3 linked regions of the Ovis aries genome follow. The protein of the gene in region 1 purifies or fractionates together with the protein of each later gene. This does not show direct contact. Links are inferred from orthologs where the notes say so. Each region holds a gene or a part of one and is shown in the gene's direction. Other genes may lie near its edges.

Region 1 (3,747 bases):
ACATGTCTCCCCTGTTAAATGAACTCTGTGATGATAGGGCTGTTCATTGCTATGTACCCAGATCTTAGGCTAGCACTTGACGCAGGACTGGCAGTTGATAAATGCTATTGAAAAAAAGATATTGTGTGTTGGAAAAACTGCCCTTCTGTAACATCATCCTTGAATCACTGTTATTTCTTTTGGCCACAGAAAACGAGCCTTGAACCAGTGAGGTTATCTATAGGGTATTTATTAAGCACTCTTTAATCAGGGAGACAGGATACAGTAGAGAATAAAGTGGTGTCTCCATTCTGGCTCTGTCACCTTGCTAGCTGTATTACTTTGGACATGTTTATTTCTTTGAATCTGTTTGCTTGATATAGAATGGGAATAATGGTACACCTTGGTGTTAAATGGTTAAGTGATAATAGGTAAAAGGTCAAACGTTTGTTATCAGTTTTGTTAAGTCACATTTGACTTCTGTAGCATATAAAAGTGAGGCGGGAGATATCAAATGTTTCATTCAGGAAAAATATCCAGGATGAACCAAGGGAGGGGTTATTGGGTAAAGGGTTAAGCACATTCTGGTTGAAATAACATTTATTAAAATGTTACGTAACACTCAGGTTTCCCTGGTGGCTCAGTAGGTAAAGAACCAGCCTGCAATGCAGGAGACCTGAGTTCAACCCCAGGGTGGAGAAGATCCCCTGGAAGAGGGCATGACAACCCACTCCAGTAGTCTTTCCTGGAGAATCCCATCGACAGAGGAGTCTGGTGGGTCTGACACGACTTAGCGACTAACCCACCACCATGTAACCCTCATGCCCTAGTATTTATCGTTAACACTTGGGGCAGAATCTAGACCCCCAGTCCTGCAAGCAGTGGCTTCAGAACACCTTCCTAACTTACAGCCCAAGCCCACGGCCCTTAGGACATCAGATACATCAGCCAACCATTACTTTGGGTAAATGCCGTTCCAAGGCTGGGGAAAAGGTAGGGGGTAGGTTCCGTGAGACCTATTCACTATCTACACCTGGGGCTGGCCATTCCCTAACTCCAGCGCCAGCGCCCCCAGGTCACCTTGACTACCGGGCCAAGGACCCCGTGGGAAATCGAAGTCCCGCCAGCTTGGGTCCTCCTGCGCCCAGAGGAGGGATGCCCAGAGAGAAGACCTGAATGGCAAGAATCTAAATGAAGAGAGAGGCGCGGAAAAGAACTGGACACGCGGAAAAAAGATAACAATGGGAAGGATTATAGTTTCCTTGATGCATTTTGTTACTGGTAGTAGCAAAAGGGTAAGAAGTGGCTTAAAAATTTTTTTTTCACGCAGGCATTTTCTAAAGGCAACCCTAGAACGAGCAGAACTACACAACCGTAGAAGGCCCGTCTTCCGGTTCTTTGCGCCTGCGCGCTCGCATCAGCGAAGGCGGGAGGCCGGGTGGAGGGAAAACCGGGAACCGGAAGTGAAGGCAGATTCCCTTCTTCGTCGCTGTTGCCGCCGCCATACGTCTTTGCCTTGCTCAGGTAAGCTTTGGGCCTTCGGCACCATCCGCCTCCATCTGCGTTTCTCTGCGGCCATCCTGTCGCACGAGCTCCTGATAGCCCTTGCACAGGCCATGATCTGGTTGTTGGAGTCTGATTGGGTCGTTAGTTCCATCGCTTGCATCTTTTTCGAGATGAAGAAACTTTGGGGGGGAGGTAGGGAAGCTAGGGGGGCCCAATCCAAGATGGTGGCCCCGGCGCCATTGTGTTTTCTTTGCTTCTCGCTCCTTCGGTGGCCCCCCTCGATTACTCGAGGCCCCAGTGACATTGAGAGGCGGCGCCAGGCGTCCTCTGGTCCTGGGTATTTGCGGAGGGCGGGGTCTTCTCACTTTCCCGCTTATTTCTGGGTCCTCGGTCCGCGGCGGGAATAGGAAGAGGAGCCGGCTTCTAGGCCTACCTGGACGTTTCTCGGCCCGGTTTGCCCACCGTTATTTGGAGCATTTCCTAAATGTTTACGAGTGGTGTCATTGTGTGTTTTTCGGAAACGAGCCATACCTAAGGAGTGATGGAGGAGTGGGTTTTTTTCTTCTGGCCGAGACATTCTTTAGCCCCCACCCTCCTCCGCCACCACCGCCGAAGGATTTTTTACGCGCGAGTGTGAGGTGTCTGAGGAGTGGGAGACTGGAGTGTTGGGAGAGGTGGATGGCAGCCATATGATGTTTCCATTTTGAAAAGTGAGCGCTTTGCTCAATGACGACCGTAAATCTATCACCCTTGACTGATGGCTGCTGTCCACACCTTGAGATTATCGGGAAAGCACAAGGTCTTTCGTTGAGGATTTTTCATTTTGTCACTTAACATTCTCCAGTCTTGTAAATTGTTAGTAGCAGTCTGTTTTTTATGTGTCTTTAATTTTTATCCTTACTGCTGTCCTGGAGCAGGAATTGAGAAGCTGGCCTGGCCTTCCTAGCTTTCCGGTTTCTGCTTCTCCGATCCTATCTTTTTGGGAACCTATGTCCTAATCGTCACTCCTGGGAAACACACTTTTCCCATTCCGTGTGTTATGTTTACCTTTTGTTTCTTTGTCTTGTGTTTTTTTGTTACTTTTTTTCCCCCTTTGTTACTTTTGTTTCCAGGTACATGTGTCGGTTTGGGGAAAGGAAGAGTGTGGGGATGGACGGGATAGATGGTGAAGGCTCTACTCATGACTGATGTCTTCTCCCTGTTTTTCCCCCCTCCCAGCTCTTCTGTCAGAAACTAGTGTGTTTCTTTTCCTCTTCTGTTCCTCAAGCCCCCACTCTCCTCCTCTTGTCTTCCTTTATTCTGCGCTAACCCATCCGGAGACCCTTCCCCTTTTCCTGCCGGCCCAGTTATGGCGGAGAACGATGTGGACAATGAGCTCTTGGATTATGAAGATGATGAGGTGGAGACGGCAGCTGGGGGAGATGGGGCTGAGGCCCCTGCCAAGAAGGATGTCAAGGGCTCCTATGTCTCCATCCACAGCTCTGGCTTTCGTGACTTCCTGCTCAAGCCAGAGTTGCTCCGGGCCATTGTTGACTGTGGCTTTGAGCATCCATCAGAAGGTAAATTTCCTGTTGGGCATGGAGTACTCATTGGTGCTTTAAGGATACAAGAAAACAGATAATAGCCATGGTCCCTTACAGTTTTATATATAGGATAGATCAGGAAATAAGTACCAGAACCTATTTCAGCAGTAGAAGATGTTTATATAGGTTTGTCTTTGTTCATGATAGTATGTAAGTGCTAGTGACTTCAAAGCAACTTAGAGTGGCTTTTCTCCTTGTCTCCTTGTTTTAAATTTTGTCTTTTAATTTAAAATTTCCAAAGAGGAGCTGGTTGGACCCTTGGATCAAATCACCTCTGGTCTCTGTAAACCTTTATGGCTGGTCTAAAGATAGCTGTCTTTTGGGTCAAGTACTAAGTTCTTCCCTGGTGGCTCAGACGGTAAAGCGTCTGCCTGCAATTTGGGAGACTGGGTTCAATCCCTGAGTCGGGAAAATCCCCTGGAGAAGGAAGTAGCGACCCACTCCAGTACTCTTGCCTGGAAGATCCCATGAACGGAGGAGCCTGGCAGTCTATAGTCCACGGGGTCACAGTCGGAGAGATGACTGAGCAACTTCACTTTCACCGGGTTCTTCATTTTGCCCAAGGTTGCAGAGTTATGTCACCCAAAGCATGACAATCTAAGTAGGAGAAGTAGCCTGTGACAGGCCCTCAAAAGTCATGGATTGTTACAGATTAAGGAGCATTGGGACAGAGGAGCAC
Region 2 (3,647 bases), on another chromosome or scaffold:
CAAAGTAATCGGAAGCAGTGCATAAATTTAGCTGTCATCATAGATGAGTGCTGTGTTTCAGCAATAGAATCACAGGCTCTAAATGTCCAATAAGTCGTTTGCTATTCATCTTTAACAAGATGTTTTTGAATATTATATAGTTCGCCAGTATCTTTTCCTTCAGTATTAACAATATTCTTGAAAGCTGCACCTCTGATTATTGAATTAAAAAAAGATTCTGAGCCATTATTATTTTTCAATTAAAAAGTAAACCTTGTTTTGAAAAATTTGGACAGTTTTGGATTGTGAACAGTGCTATTCCGCCTAAGCAATTTAAAACTGTAGCCTAAAATTTAGAAAATCAATCGATTTCCTGAAAAGTTTTTCTGGTAAGTTTTGTGACCGAAGAAATTTGCTGAGGGAATTTTAACTTTCAGAAGTTGTGACTAATACTTTTTTCTTCATAAATATAACATTGCACTTAATTGTTTCCCTTCAGAAGGGAGGGGGGTAAAAAAGGAACAATGGTAATACACCTAATATAGCTAAATTATCTCAGCCCCAAATCCCCTTGCATATGTGATTAAAGAAACTCATGTCCTCGTAGGAGCCTGGATACATAAAGGAAATGTTTCCTTTCAGCAACAGCTAACAATAATGTTTATTCTGGGGATGTTATGAACACATTTGATTCCTGAGAGTCCACACTTCCCACAGATTTTGTGTGTGGAATGTTTAAGTGCTGGTCAGAGGATGTCACGGCCTTGTAAAGAGAAAAGGAGAACCATGAGACTTTGCCCTAGTGGAAGTGGGTGGGGCTGATGGTCAGATTGTTCTCCGTGGAATGGAGATGTGTGGGCCCGTAGGGGCAATCGAAGGAACAACAGCCTTTATTTAGCAAAGTAGAAGTTTCCTGATTTTTTATTGGGTTTAGTTGGGCTGACAGCTCTTGGGATAAATATGATCACAGGGTCTGAATACTCAGCAAGCAAATTCTCAGCTCATGTTTAACATCCATTTCGAAATTTAATATGAAAGGAGAATTTTATTCTAAACAGATGATTCTTAAAATATAGCTTGATTGCATTGATCATTAAAAACAGCATCCCAATCACATCACTTTTTTTCCCAGAGAAAATAAACTATTTTGAACACGTGAGCAATTTGGAAACATCTGAAACCAATTTCCTTCTCAAGCTACGAATTAAATAATGGCCTTAGAAGACAGTGCTCTATGATTTATGACTGCATGTTATACAGATAGTAGTGTCACACTAGTTCCTGACTTTCAGATTTGTTTTTTGGTCTTTGCGGTATAAGTTGCCTTTTTCTAAAGTACATAAGTTTCAGTCATCAGCCTGCTGAGGTGGCTGAGGTGACTCCTACGTCCTGTTCTGTGGGGGAGGCACCATGGACGGGGTAAGTGGGGGGAGCCTCATTAAGACACTCCTGCCCCCTCCTCCAGCACACCTGGGACACCCTGGAAGGGGTTGATTCCTGTGTTTTTCTTTGTTATTTGTTTTGATTCTCCACTTTTTGTTGTAACAAAACAGAATTTTTCTTGTGACTAAGTTGATTGTGTTTAACAGCATAATTAGGAATAATTATGAAAACAATACAGTGAGGAAGGAAGGAAACCTTTTTATTTCCTTTCTCCTAGAACACAAACGGGATCCTGGCCATGCTGGATGAAGAGTGCCTTAGGCCGGGCACGGTCACGGATGAGACCTTCTTGGAAAAGCTGAACCAAGTCTGCGCTACCCACCAGCATTTTGAGAGCAGGATGAGCAAGTGCTCCCGGTTCCTCAATGACACTTCCCTTCCTCACAGCTGCTTCAGGATCCAGCACTATGCTGGCAAGGTGTGGGAGCCCGGGACCCCAGGGAGGTCACAGTTACTCCCTGGAGAGCAGACACCTTGCCTCAGAGATGGCATTCTGACCAGCATCAGCTCTGGAGGATAAATGGAGTTGCTGAGGGGGCATGGAATCCATGAATGTTCCGTGGGCATAGAATCTGGACCATACTGAGAAAAATCTTACTAGTACTGAGATCTGAAGGAAAGCCAGAGGACCTAATCAAAGAGTTCAAGTATATATTAAAAAATAAATTTTATTATTTTCAGGCTCAGAGCTAGCCTATAAAAAAGATCTATTTGACACGTATAAAAAATTTGCCAGTAAAAATGAGCAGTCACTAAAGACATACAGTAAGGTTTTAATTTTTTAAATTTTATTTATTTTTTTGATGTGGACCATTTTATAGTACTGCTTCTGCTTCATGTTCTGGGGTTTTGGCTGCAAGGCATAGCTCCCTAACAGGGGAACTAACCCACACCCCCAGCATCGGAAGGCAGAGTCTTAACCATTAGACTGCTAGGGAAGTCCCTACAGTAATTATAAATAAGCTTGCAGACATCAAAGGGGAAACAAAATCTGATTTTGTATTTTGTACGAAGTTGTTTTGTTGTTGTTTAGTTACTAAGTCATGGTCTGACTCTTTCGTGACCTCATGGATTGTAGCCCACCAGCCTCCTCTGTCCATGGAATTTTCCAGGCAAGAATACTGGAGTGGGTTGCCATTTCTTTCTCCAGGAGATCTTCCTGACCCAGGGCTTGAACTAGAGTCTCCTGCATTGGCAGGCAGATTCTCTACCAGTGAGCCACCAGGGAATCCCAAATATGAAGTATATTGTATCTAAATTACCTTTAATTTCAAAATGTTGGAACTTGTTACTTCACTTTTTTTTTTACTAGCCCATGTTATTAAAAAATACTTTTCTGGTCAATTTCCCTGCCAGTGTAGGATGTCTATAAAAATATCAGTGTTATCTGTGTTTTCCCCTGTCTCCTTTTAAACATACTCGAATTGGCACATGTAAACTAAAAAATATAAGTAAAACCTCAAAAATATGATTGAATACCAAAAAAATCCCTAAAATCCTTTGAAAATGTTATGATAACATTTTTGAAGTTTATTCTTGCAAATCCTGAAGGGTAATAGAATTTATTTTGAACTCCTCTGTGATTTAGACAGATGGAATTTAAACTTGGAGGCTAATTTGGTATTAGAGTGTGACTAACGTGTTGAGGGTTTTTTGATGGAGAAAGAAGAGGCTGCAGTATAGATAGTCTCAGGATATTTTTAACAGCTGTTTGATGTTCTGGTGTGCAGTGTATCAGCTACTGAGTCCCATGTGCTGCTCATAGGTGCTGTACCAAGTGGAAGGATTTGTGGACAAGAACAATGACCTTCTCTATCGGGACCTGTCCCAAGCCATGTGGAAGGCCGGACACGCCCTCATCAAATCTTTGTTTCCCGAAGGAAACCCTGCCAAGATCAACCTGAAAAGGCCTCCTACAGCCGGCTCACAGTTCAAAGCATCCGTAGCCACTCTGATGAAAAATCTACAGACCAAGAATCCAAACTACATTAGGTATTTCTGGCACATAAAATTCTTTGGCCATTCAACTATGAAGGCATTCACTAGGAAGATCATTTTCCTGTGTGCTTAAATCTGAGTGTGGCCCAAGCAGAGGAGTAACTAAAGTACTTACAGTTCGAATCATATGGTGTCTTGGGTGTGCTTGAAAAATACTCTAGTGCCCCCAAAATAAGGAATTCAAGAAGGAAAGAAGTGTGGCAGGCGATGGGAATAGATACTTAAAT
Region 3 (3,647 bases), on another chromosome or scaffold:
CTCAGACTTCCCCTCAAGTCATCTCTTTTGGTCCCTTTAAGCCCTTGTGGGAGAGACCGCAGTCCACGTGCACCCCCCCTCGGTCCCATCCTCTGTCCTCTGGAGAGCTGCTTGCCTTCTCCGTCTGACTTTTGTGTCCCCCACCCTCAGGGATGAGCACAGCTCTGACCCATACCACAGTGGCTATGAGATGCCCTATGCTGGGGGGGGTGGGGGCCCAGCTTATGGCCCCCCTCAGCCCTGGGGCCACCCAGACGTCCACATCGTGCAGCACCCTGTTCTGCCTATCCAGGCCAGGTGAGACCTGCGCTTCCGGGGGGCCGGGAGAAGGGGGTCCACATTTGGGGATGAATTGGGGTGGCTGAGGCCAGGAGAATTGGGTTGGGCATGCAAGGGCACCAGTGGGTGGTGGCAGCCGTTGGTGCCTTGGGCGATGGTCTTGGTGGGCAAAGGGAGAGGGCAGCTGGCTGCCTTGGCCCCCCGATTTCCCCACCCTCTTCCCCCACATCCAAGACTTCCTGACTGGTGCGTCCCCCTGCCCCCCTAGGCTGGGCAGCATAGCAGAGATCGACTTGGGCGTGCCGCCCCCTGTTATGAAGACCTTCAAGGAGTTCCTCCTGTCCCTGGATGATGCTGTGGATGAGACCGAGGCGGTCAAGCGCTACAACGACTACAAGCTGGACTTCCGGAGGCAGCAGATGCAGGACTTCTTCCTGGCTCACAAGGATGAGGAGTGGTGAGTGCCCCTCCTCACCTGCCGTCCTTTCCCTGGCATGTTTCCCCTGGCCCCGCCAGTGGAGCCTGCAGCCCTGTGCTCTCCCCAGCTCACCCAGTCCAGCACTTCTGGGGGCGGGGGAGGGGAGTGTGCCAGCCCTGGCTGATGGGTCTCCTCACCTCCACGTCCGCCACGGCCCCCCCCCCCCCATCTCCCTTCCCCGCCGTCCTCGGTGAGTGAGCCACCTCCAGGCAGCTGGCCAGAGCCACCTGTTCCTCTGAGGCGGCAGACGCACCGCCTCCCCCTTGCCGTTCGGGGTCACCGCCATCCCTGATCGCCGGGACCCTGTGTGGTGGTGGTGTCCTCCCAAAAGCAACGAGTGAATCCAGACAAGAAAAGCAAAGCTCTCAGGATCGTTTGACAGAAAAAGAATTTTGATTTTTTTCCTTTTGTGGATGTTTTAATTTTAATCAACCATCTTTTCCCCCCTTCCTGCTCCTCCTCCTCCTCATCCTCTTTCTGCTCCTCCTCCTTGAAAAGAGCCAGAACTGGGAACTACACCCGCTCATCGACGGAGCTCGGAGCAAACCCACCTCCACCCCCACCATACCCAGCCCATACATGAGCCCCCTGGGCTGACCGCGCTGCCCGGGCCAGGCAGACAGGCAGGGCACCGTTGTGCACAATGCAGCGGTTTAGCTGAATGTGATTGCTCAGGCAGCTAGTCAGTCAGGGCCCCCACCGCGGAGTCCCGCGGGGGTGGGGCACCCGGGCCGGGCGCCCCAGCCAGGAGCCAGCCGTGGCCCACCAGCCAGCATGGGCCCTGGGCGCGGCTAGTTAAATCTTGAGCTCTGTTTGACCAAGCGGCCAAGGTAAAGATCCTGGAGGTGACGCCTGCGGCTCTCCCTTCCTCTTCTGCTCAGCTTGTGGTTCTGTTCTGTCACTGTCTCCTCTTTCTTCCTAACCCCTGTCTTTGTCTTACTCGCTCATAAACCTGTCATTCTCTCTCTGTCCCCATTCTTGCTCCTGTCTAACACTTCTTTCCACTGGGTTTTTGTTTTTTCCTAGTTTTCATTTGGTCTTTATAGTTTTCCTCGTTTTTATTCTGGGACTTTCTCAAACTTTGCCCTTCTTTGCATATCCTAATTCTTCTGTCCTCCCCGCCCCCTCCTGCCCAGGGTCCTATTCTAAGTGTTTCTTTTTCATGCTCTAACCTAACCCTCCACCCCTGTCCTCTCTTGACCCCTGTGGGCAGTACCTGAGGTTATAAGGGCACTTCAGTTTCTCCCTTTGGTCTTTCCCTGTCCCTTCACCAGCTGCTTATCTTCCCTAGAGGGGAGAAAGGTGTCCTGCCTTTTGTGGCTTTTCCTTTCTGGTGATTTCAGGTTTTCCTGTCTTCCACCAAGGGATGGAGGGAGCTGGTGGGAGCAATCCTTTTAATGATTCTAGTTGGGTTGGCAAGGAGAGGGAGGTTCTTTGGGATCTGCTGTTTCTTTAGTGTTAGTCTGGGAAGCTGTGGGAAACTATATTCCTTAAAATTTGTGTTTCCCAGACACTTCGGGCGTCATTCTGCCTCCAGCCCTGACTCCCCCTGTAGTCATACTCTTTGCAAATCTAGAGCTTAGTTCCTGGCTCGCCCCCAGGTCTTCTCAGAGCATAGCCTCTGTTCCTTTCGGGGGGTGGGTGGTTCAGGTGCACCCCTTCCCCTGACCTCCGCTGTCATGACCTTCTGTGGGTGTGAGAGGATGGGGGCTGTGCCCTGACTTTCCCGGGCCCCTCCCCATGTCCTGGCTCTGGCCTCCAATGACTGTTTGGCTCTTCCCTTCCCCCTTCCTCCTCAGGTTTCGGTCTAAGTACCACCCAGATGAGGTGGGGAAGCGTCGGCAGGAGGCCCGAGGGGCCCTGCAAAACCGACTAAGGGTGTTCCTGTCTCTCATGGAGGGTGGCTGGTTTGATAATCTGCTGCTGGACATAGACAGAGCTGATGCCATTGTCAAGATGCTCGATGCAGGTGTGTGGGCTGGGAGGGTGGGCTCGTCTGCTGACCAGGGTCCTGGCTGAAGGTGAAAACTGATAGCAAGCCAGAGGCAGAAGGCCAAGACCCTTGGATTGAGACCTCTGTTCCCTGTGTTGGTAGCTGTGATTAAGATGGAAGGAGGCACAGAGAATGATCTGCGGATCCTGGAGCAGGAGGAGGAGGAGGAGCAGGCAGGAAAGCCTGGGGAGCCCAGCAAGAAAGAGGAAGGCCGGGTCGGACCAGGCCTGGGTGATGGAGAGCGCAAGGCCAATGAAAAGGATGACAAGAAAGAAGACGGCAAACAGGTCTCAGTGCTGGGGCTTCTGGTGCTGTCTGTGAGGCCTGGGGCGTGGGAAATGGAGCCGCTTTAGGGGGTTGGGTATTGGGTGGGCGAGAGGCAAACTTGGACTGAGCTGCTAGAGGCTGGGCAGGGCCCTCTGAAAAAGGCTGAAGGAGAGAATGATGTTCCTGGTGATTTGTTTCTACCTATAGGCTGAAAATGACAGTTCCAGTGATGACAAAACTAAGAAATCTGAAGGTGATGGAGACAAAGAAGAGAAAAAGGAAGACTCTGAGAAAGAAGCCAAAAAGGTAGGTTCTCGCTTGGATAAGGTCACAGCCCGGGCTGGGTCCTGGTACCTGACTCCCCCCCTTGCTATGGGTCTCACAGAGCAGTAAGAAGCGGAATAGGAAGCACAGTGGCGATGACAGCTTTGATGAAGGCAGTGTGTCCGAGTCGGAGTCAGAGTCTGAGAGTGGCCAGGCCGAGGAGGAGAAGGAAGAGGCTGGTAGGTTTTATTTTCAGTCTCTTCCTATTGACGGTGCTGGGGAGGGTGAGGGGGCTGGTGTGGAGGCAAGAGGCGGGTGAAATTAATAAGGAGGGGGCCCTTTTGGGAGAGACTGGTTGGGGGAGGC

What was found.
Region 2: the proteins of DDX39B (region 1) and MYO1B purify together in Homo sapiens (affinity purification with mass spectrometry, with the first as the bait; 3 studies listed by BioGRID). This does not show direct contact. The link is inferred for Ovis aries from reciprocal best matches to the Homo sapiens genes DDX39B and MYO1B.
Region 3: the proteins of DDX39B (region 1) and SRRT purify together in Homo sapiens (affinity purification with mass spectrometry; 3 studies listed by BioGRID and IntAct, with this or other methods). This does not show direct contact. The link is inferred for Ovis aries from reciprocal best matches to the Homo sapiens genes DDX39B and SRRT.

Annotation. Positions count from the first base shown.
Region 1 is NC_056073.1:26,828,443-26,832,189, forward strand, and holds the start of DDX39B (spliceosome RNA helicase DDX39B), read left to right. Parts: upstream 1-1,450; 5' UTR 1,451-1,677; exon of another isoform or gene 1,678-2,340; intron 2,341-2,703; 5' UTR 2,704-2,833; coding exon 2,834-3,044; intron 3,045-3,747. UniProt on the Homo sapiens protein: Involved in nuclear export of spliced and unspliced mRNA. Component of the TREX complex which is thought to couple mRNA transcription, processing and nuclear export, and specifically associates with spliced mRNA and not with unspliced pre-mRNA.
Region 2 is NC_056055.1:193,653,175-193,656,821, forward strand, and holds part of MYO1B (unconventional myosin-Ib), read left to right. Parts: intron 1-1,639; coding exon 1,640-1,840; intron 1,841-3,187; coding exon 3,188-3,414; intron 3,415-3,647. UniProt on the Homo sapiens protein: Motor protein that may participate in process critical to neuronal development and function such as cell migration, neurite outgrowth and vesicular transport.
Region 3 is NC_056077.1:36,206,575-36,210,221, reverse strand, and holds part of SRRT (serrate RNA effector molecule homolog), read left to right. Parts: exon of another isoform or gene 1-150; coding exon 151-297; intron 298-547; coding exon 548-736; intron 737-2,556; coding exon 2,557-2,726; intron 2,727-2,852; coding exon 2,853-3,037; intron 3,038-3,224; coding exon 3,225-3,323; intron 3,324-3,402; coding exon 3,403-3,520; intron 3,521-3,647. UniProt on the Homo sapiens protein: Acts as a mediator between the cap-binding complex (CBC) and the primary microRNAs (miRNAs) processing machinery during cell proliferation.